Rattus norvegicus: one gene and its partner. The protein of the gene in region 1 purifies or fractionates together with the protein of each later gene. This does not show direct contact. Links are inferred from orthologs where the notes say so. Each region holds a gene or a part of one and is shown on either strand. Other genes may lie near its edges. The genes, in order: Asxl1 and Ogt.

Region 1 (3,821 bases):
ATATCTGCCTGCCTCTATCTCCTGAGTTCTGGGATTAAAGACATGTATGTGCCCAATGTAAAATTTATTACATTGTATTATGTTTCAGTTTTTGAGCAGATTCTCATAATATAGACCAATATGGCCTGAAACTATGAAGTTCAGACTTTGGCCTCCTTACTCAGCTTTTTTTTTTTTTTTTTCCCTCTCGGAGCTGGGGACCGAACCCAGGGCCTTGCGCTCGCTAGGCAAGCGCTCTTCCGCTGAGCTAAATCCCCAACCCCCTTACTCAGCTTTTTGAGGGCTGAGGTTATATGAATGAACCAGCGCACCTGGCTAAGATAGGTGCTCTAACGTTTGTTAACATATGACTTGGAAATTTTTTAATTTTTAATTTGTCTATACTTAGATACCCTGGAGGCCAGAAGAGGGCATAGGGATTCCTTGTAGCTAACACTGTTAACAGGTTGTGAGCCACCCAGCATGGATGCTGGGACTCGAACTCTGGTCCTTTGTGAAAGCAGCCAGCAGACTCTTGCTTTTTGTTTTTCTTGTCTTGAAGACAGGAGACAGGTTTCTTCACTCTGTAGACCAGATTGGTCTCAAATTCAGAGATCGGCCTCTCTCTGGTCTCCTAAATACTAGAATTACAGGTTTGTGCCACCATACCTGGCTTATACCAAGCACTTTAACTGCTGAGTGGTCTCTAAGTATTTTAGAGCTTGGTTGTGTTGTCAGGAAACCCACAGATGTGCTGGTGCGTGTTCTGAACTGTTGAGTGCACCACAACTGGACTTGAGTTGTTCGTCTCCCCGTGCTCTCATAGTCGTCTGTGCAGTCATGGCTTCTGCTTTGATTGCTTCACTTCTTGGTTTGGAAAGGAATTCGAGGGTGTTTGGACATTGGCTAAGGAGACACAACTTCTGTGATCCATTTCCCTCCTTTCATCTTTTACAGTGGGACATCCCCCCTCGCGTGCCTCAATGCCATGCTACATTCCAACTCAAGAGGAGGAGAAGGGCTATTTTATAAATTACCTGGCCGGATTAGTCTTTTCACACTCAAGGTAAAATTAGTTTTCAGTGCAATGGTCCTCAAAGCTTTGTGCATAAAACCTGGTGGGTTTGCAATGATGCTGGTGGATTGATGTCTTTCCTAATATGCAGTCAGATAACACTAATGTTTGGTCCTTAACGGTGCTCTGAGATGCTGTAGTCTTATAGACTATTAGGAGTTACTAAGTTATATCACCTGTGTTTCTGTGTTCAGCTTTGCTTAGTAGATTCTATGCAGTTGAAATGTGTGTGTAGTGATAATTACAGATGTGCCTTAGTAAGGTTTTTGTTTGTAATAATACTGTCAGGGATAAAATTACTGTGCAACTAACGTACCTGCTCTGTGGAAAGGAACCAAAATGTGCGTATCAGAATATACTAAAACACTAGTTATAAAGGAGTAGTTCATAATAAGCCTTATTTGCTGAAATAAATAATTATTTTCTACCATTTCTGATATATTTGGCTGTCATTTAGATCACAGTCTGAAAACTCTTGTATGAAGGGCTGATACAAATAATTGAGATTTTGTTGACCTAGTGGCTCTGTCAAAATAGCCATCTCTCATCTCATGCACATGCACACTTTTTCTAAGAAGAGGTGTAATGTATAGTAATTTTTATTGCTTTGTCTTCTATTTCATAGACTAGTTTTCTTTTAGAGACTTACTTTCTTTGTAGTATAGTCTGGCCTTGAACTCTTGATTGCTCAAAGTGGCCTAAAACATGTGATCCTTGTGCTTTTGTCATACTAGTACTGGGATTACATGGGGTTGTCACCATGCCTGGCTTTACAATGTTGCAAATATGGAAAAACAAAGAAAGAAGGGCTGGAGGGATGCTTCAGTGGCTAAGAACACTGACTGCTCTTGTAGAGAACCAGCACTTGATTCTCAGCACCTATGTGGTCCCTCACAACCTTCTGTAACTTAGTTCCAGGGGTTCTAGTACCTTTTTCTGACCTCCGTGGGTACCAGGCGTGCATATGGTGTGTGGGCATATAGGGAATGCACACATAAAATGAATAATAATAAAGCATTAAAAGAAGGAGTACTACTGTACTTACACAGCCATACATTTAAAAAAGCACCTTTTGGAGTTGGGGATTTAGCTCAGCGGTAGAGCGCTTGCCTAAGAAGCGCAAGGCCCTGGGTTCTGTCCCCAGCTCCGAAAAAAAGAACCAAAAAAAAAAAAAAAAAAGGCACCTTTTTGGGGGAATTGGGGAGATAGCTCAATAGGTAAAAGCAGTTGTTTAATCATGAAGTTTGGAGTTCAAATCCCTAGCACTCAGGGATTTGAAGTGTGGTGGTGTGGGCAATAGGACAGATGCACCACTCCTCATAGAAGCTGGTCTTGACTGGGCAAAGTGGAAGAACTGGCTCTGGTGACTGGTGGCATGGGGTACAGGAGTGCTGGTGGACTGATTAAAGCAGCTACCACCCAGGCCTAGATCCAGAGCTTTGAGTTAGCCCATCTCTATATCTTCCCCATCTGCGAACTGTTGAAACTTGTGAAGGAGTTGGTCCTGCAGAAACAAAGCTGCAGGACCTCACATGGGGCAAGGGCAATAACAGGATATCCTAGAGGAGTCCTGGTGAGGGACCAGAGGCCCCGAACCAGACCAATGACGTACTGTAATGAACTGAACATTTACAAATAAAGCTATGTGGACAAAAGGATTTATTGTGTGGTACACTATAGCTTCCATGAGATACTTTTTGGTTTTGTTTTGTTTTTTTTTCCTTGGTGGGGGGGGGCATTGCAGGGGCAGAGGGTGGGTACAATAGGATAATAAATGAGTGGGATTGGGGTACATGATGTGAAATTCACAAAGAATTTGTGGGGAGGGGAGGATAGCTCAGCGGTTAAGAACACTGACTGTTCTTCCAGAGGTCCTGAGTTCAGTTCTCAGCAACCACATGGTGGTTCACAACCATCTCTAATGGGATCGGATGCCCACTTCTGGTGAGTCTGAAGAGAATGACAATGTGCTCATATACATAAAATAAATAATTCTTAAAAAAAAAAAACCAAAATACAAAAAACTAAGCGTGACTTGAATGTCTGCCTGTTTAACCCCAACACTTGGTTGGGTTAGAGACAGGAAGATGATTGGGGCTTGTTGCTACAAGATTAATGAGAAACTGGATCTTGAGAGAATGACATGGAAAGTGATAACGCAGAACAGGTTCTTCTTTGGCCTCTCCGAGGCCACCTGAACACAGTGTGTCTATAGTTGTATTCAAGCATAACACACAGTGAGCAGTTAGGAGGGGAATGTCAGTTCCCTTGCAGTTTTCATTAGAGGAAAAAGCAAAGGGGGGGGGGTAAATTAGATAATTGATGCTTTCTTTTTGGGGTTGGGATACTGTTTTATTTATTTTTTGAGACAGGGTTTCTCTTTGTATCCGTAGTTGCCCTCAAACTATCTAGATTAGGCTGGCCTGGAATTGAGGAGTCTACCTGCCTCTGCTCCTAAGTGCTGGCTTAATTGTTGCATTCTTACAATGTTAGAACTACAATCGAAATTTATATAACTCGACTCCATATTAGCAGCTCAGAATTACTGATGTATCATTAAATACAAAGGAAAGACTGAGTATAGAGTAAGTCTGGATTTTAGATAGGATAAAGTCATCACCACTGTCATTTATAAGGCAGTATGAAAGTCCATTTTGAGTTTTAGTAGATGCCTGGCAAGCAGTGTTCTCTTTCACAATGCAAATTAGATGACATGGCTCCTAGTTGACTCTCCTCTACCCTGAACTGCTCTCTTAGCATTTCTGCT
Region 2 (3,821 bases), on another chromosome or scaffold:
GTTTAATTTACCATATTTTTCCATTTTTTTGGTTTGCATTTCTAACTTTTTGTTTCCCCCTCCTTCCCTCAAATGTTTTGATGATTCTCCAGAACCAACGAAACGTATGCTTTCCTTCCAAGGGTTAGCTGAGTTGGCACATCGGGAATATCAGGCAGGAGACTTTGAGGCAGCTGAGAGACACTGCATGCAGCTCTGGAGACAAGAGCCTGACAATACTGGTGTTCTTTTATTACTTTCATCTATACATTTCCAGTGTCGAAGGCTGGACAGGTAGGAGATGTCGGGGTAACCTGCCTCTTGGTGCTGAGTTTAAAAAAACGATAATTAAATATTTGAACTTCACAGATTTTCAATGCTGGGTTTCATCTGAGCCACCAATGCACACAGGCTCTTTTGCTCACGTTTGGCATGCCTAGCTGCTAGTTCTCCTCACCCTCCCACCCCCTCCCCATTTTGCTGGGGCGAGCATATTATCTGTATGACTAGGGTCTTTTCTCCCAGATTCTATCACTTGGGTTATATTCTTTTCAGGTAATTATTCTTAGTGTACATCTGAGCATCCAGACCCGTCAGTTTGAGGGACTCTGGTAGGAGGGGCATATGTAGCAGATTGGAAATAGCCCTCATTAAATTGTTATTGCTTTTAGCTAATTAATTGAATTAATCAAAAGAAGAATTTGTGCTGTGGATCTTTTAATAAATTATCATTTTGGCATACTTAGGCATTTATAGATCTGTGTCTTTAAATCTTGCCAACAAATGGAAAACGAGACATGCACTTTTTTTTTAATCTTAATAATCATGTTATACAATGGCAGTTTGGTAATAGATTCTAATAAGAATTTTCTTACATAAGAATCAGATTTCTTATATGAAATCTTGATACTCTCACCTAAGGAAAGTTTTAGTTTTCAAACTTTTCTCTTGTGTGCTAGTTAAAGGATAATGTTTCATAGTACAGGATGTTCAGGAACTGTTAAGTTGCATATGACCATGCCTCCTTTTCTCTAACACGCATATCCATGCACCAACACTTTCTACTTTTCCAGATCTGCTCACTTTAGCACCTTGGCAATTAAACAGAATCCCCTTCTAGCAGAAGCCTATTCGAATTTGGGAAATGTATACAAGGAAAGAGGGCAATTACAGGAAGCAATTGAGCATTATCGACATGCTTTGCGGCTCAAGCCTGATTTCATTGATGGTTATATTAACCTGGCAGCAGCCTTGGTAGCAGCAGGTGACATGGAGGGAGCAGTGCAAGCATACGTCTCTGCTCTTCAGTACAATCCTGTAAGTAAACATTTCTTAGTTTTCCTTTCACAGCAATCCAGAAAACAAACAAGCATCATTTGATATTTCAGATAATAGTTTTTTTCATGATAGTCAAGAGTTGAGAGAGATGTTTATGTACTTGAAATGATGAAATTGCTTTGACTTGGTCTGCATGACATAAAAAAAAAATCCATCCCATTTAGGAAGTTAAAAAGCATAAAAGTTATCTTTATAAAAAAATTCCATCAATTTTTTTGTAATGCTAATTATAGCTTAAGACACATTTTTGTGTGCTTGGGTGCTGTTTTGATGAACTTTGAGTATTTATAGCAGTTAATTGATTTTTTAAGGAATGATGGGTTAAAGGTCTTAATCTGTAATATAAATTTTTTTTTTCTTTTTTCTTTTTTTCGGAGCTGGGGACTGAACCCAGGGCCTTGCGCTTCCTAGGCAAGCGCTCTACCGCTGAGCTAAATCCCCAACCCCTAAAAATTTTTTGAAGGTACTAGATATTAGTGACATGAAATCTAGACTACCGGGGTTGGGTTGGGGATTTGGCTCAGTGGTAGAGCGCTTGGGCCCTGGGTTTGGTCCCCAGCTCCAAAAAAAAAAAAAAAAAAAAAAGAAATCTAGACTACAAAATGTTCTCAATACATCCACCTCAATATATTTATAAGTAGTAGAATTGGGTAATTGCAGATCTAGACCAGATTTTGAATTAGTTCTTTAATTCTTCTTAAATCTAAAGTCGCATGCGTTTTCGGAGAACAAGTATTAGAGTCTGTGAAAGATCAAAATATAGTGTATGAAACAAAAAAATTAAATTTAAAATGCTACAGGGATGTAAAACTTGCCCCGGAAACTGTTGATGTACTGAAGGGAGAGTGTCTGTAAGCTTTTAAGAGGTAAGTGGTAGGCACAGGGATGGGTCTTGGCAGCATAAACTTGAGGTCTCAAGTTGACATGGAGTGTGGAATCACCCTGGAAGTGCTTAATGATTAACTGGTACAACTGCCATTCTCAAAAGTCTTCTACAGGCTCAGATACTACTGCTTCAGAAAAAGGCCTCAGTGAGTTTTAGCATGATCCTTTGGTGAAGATGGCATTATTTCTAGTTTTGCCAATAATAAAAACCCTAGTAGACTTTGGGTTATGTAACTTTGAGATCACATAGCTAGTTAGCAGTGGTGAAGTGGATGTTGAAATTTGAAGTTGAATTATCAAAGCAAATTTGGACATGAATGAAAAATGAAAGCTAAAAAGCTTAAAAAAAAAAAAGCCTTCTTTGCCCCAAGGCAGCCATTGAGCCCAGCCTGGAAAACATTAGACATAAGAAGCCTGAGTCTTGACTCCAATTTTATAGTTTAGGAAACTGAAGCTTATTTTAGTAGTTTTCCAGATGATCATTTTTTTTTTTTTTTTGGTTCTTTTTTTCGGAGCTGGGGACCGAACCCAGGGCGTTGCGCTTCCTAGGCAAGCGCTCTACCACTGAGCTAAATCCCCAGCCCCCAGATGATCATTTTTTATCTGAATATCTTTTTAGCAATTATTTTTAAAGTTAATTTTGAAAAATAAAAAAATCCTATTTTTATTTCAAAAAGGTAAAAATCACTCTGGAATGGCTCTTTTAACTTTATAGATGTTCTTTGATATGTATAGACTGAGTCAGGGCAAGTGCTCCTTTTAATGGCTACCTTAGTTCAACTACATGGTGCTTTTGTTTGTGAATTCATATATAAAAAGTGCTTTTTATTCATTGCTTTTTTCTAGTGACAAATTGCATAGACTTGGAGACAGTGAAAGTAATTTGTGTGTTCTTTCAAATATTCAGTGTATATTTGAAATTAGAGTGTATTTGTAATTTTTAGTTTTAGACTGCTAACCTTGAATGTCCTCCGTGTGGGGCTTGGACTTGCTTCTTCCTAAGGTACAAGTCTTTTTCTTGTGTGCCCAGTTGTCACAGGATAGTACATTCTTTTCCTTTAGTAATCAGGGTTTCATCAGTCCTTTACTCGTTGACTGTGCAAACTTCAGCTTTGCTCTCTTGCCTCCATAGTTGTAATCTTGGTTAATTTTACTCAGTTAATTTATTTTGAGAGGGGATCTTATGTACGTCATTTGGCCTCCAACTTACTAAATAGCTGAGGATGACCTTGAAAAACTTATTTTCCTGCCCCTGCTTGCCCAGTACTGAGATGGTGCTATATAGTATACCACCATGCCCAGTTTACTGCAGATAGAACCCGGACTTCATTGCACATTAGATAAGTACTTTTCCATCTGAGCTAGATTCCCCAGGACCCTGGCTCAGGTTTTTACTTGCTTGTCTGTGTAATAGAGCAGTTTTAACTTTGCTGACAATATAGTGCAGGATTCTATTGAGAAGGGAAAATTAAAGTGAGAGACAAAGCCATGCTGCTTTCTTTCTTTTTTTTTTTTTCTTTTTCTTTTTTTCCGGAGCTGGGGACCGAACCCAGGGCCTTGCGTTTGCTAGGCAAGCGCTCTACCACTGAGCTAAATCCCCAACCCTGCCATGCTACTTT

Evidence for each region.
Region 2: the proteins of Asxl1 (region 1) and Ogt purify together in Homo sapiens (affinity purification with mass spectrometry; 3 studies listed by BioGRID and IntAct, with this or other methods). This does not show direct contact. The link is inferred for Rattus norvegicus from reciprocal best matches to the Homo sapiens genes ASXL1 and OGT.

The regions. Positions count from the first base shown.
Region 1 is NC_086021.1:162,283,706-162,287,526, forward strand, and holds part of Asxl1 (ASXL transcriptional regulator 1), read left to right. Parts: intron 1-936; coding exon 937-1,045; intron 1,046-3,821.
Region 2 is NC_086039.1:70,814,187-70,818,007, forward strand, and holds part of Ogt (UDP-N-acetylglucosamine--peptide N-acetylglucosaminyltransferase 110 kDa subunit), read left to right. Parts: intron 1-92; coding exon 93-273; intron 274-1,052; coding exon 1,053-1,296; intron 1,297-3,821. UniProt on the Homo sapiens protein: Catalyzes the transfer of a single N-acetylglucosamine from UDP-GlcNAc to a serine or threonine residue in cytoplasmic and nuclear proteins resulting in their modification with a beta-linked N-acetylglucosamine (O-GlcNAc).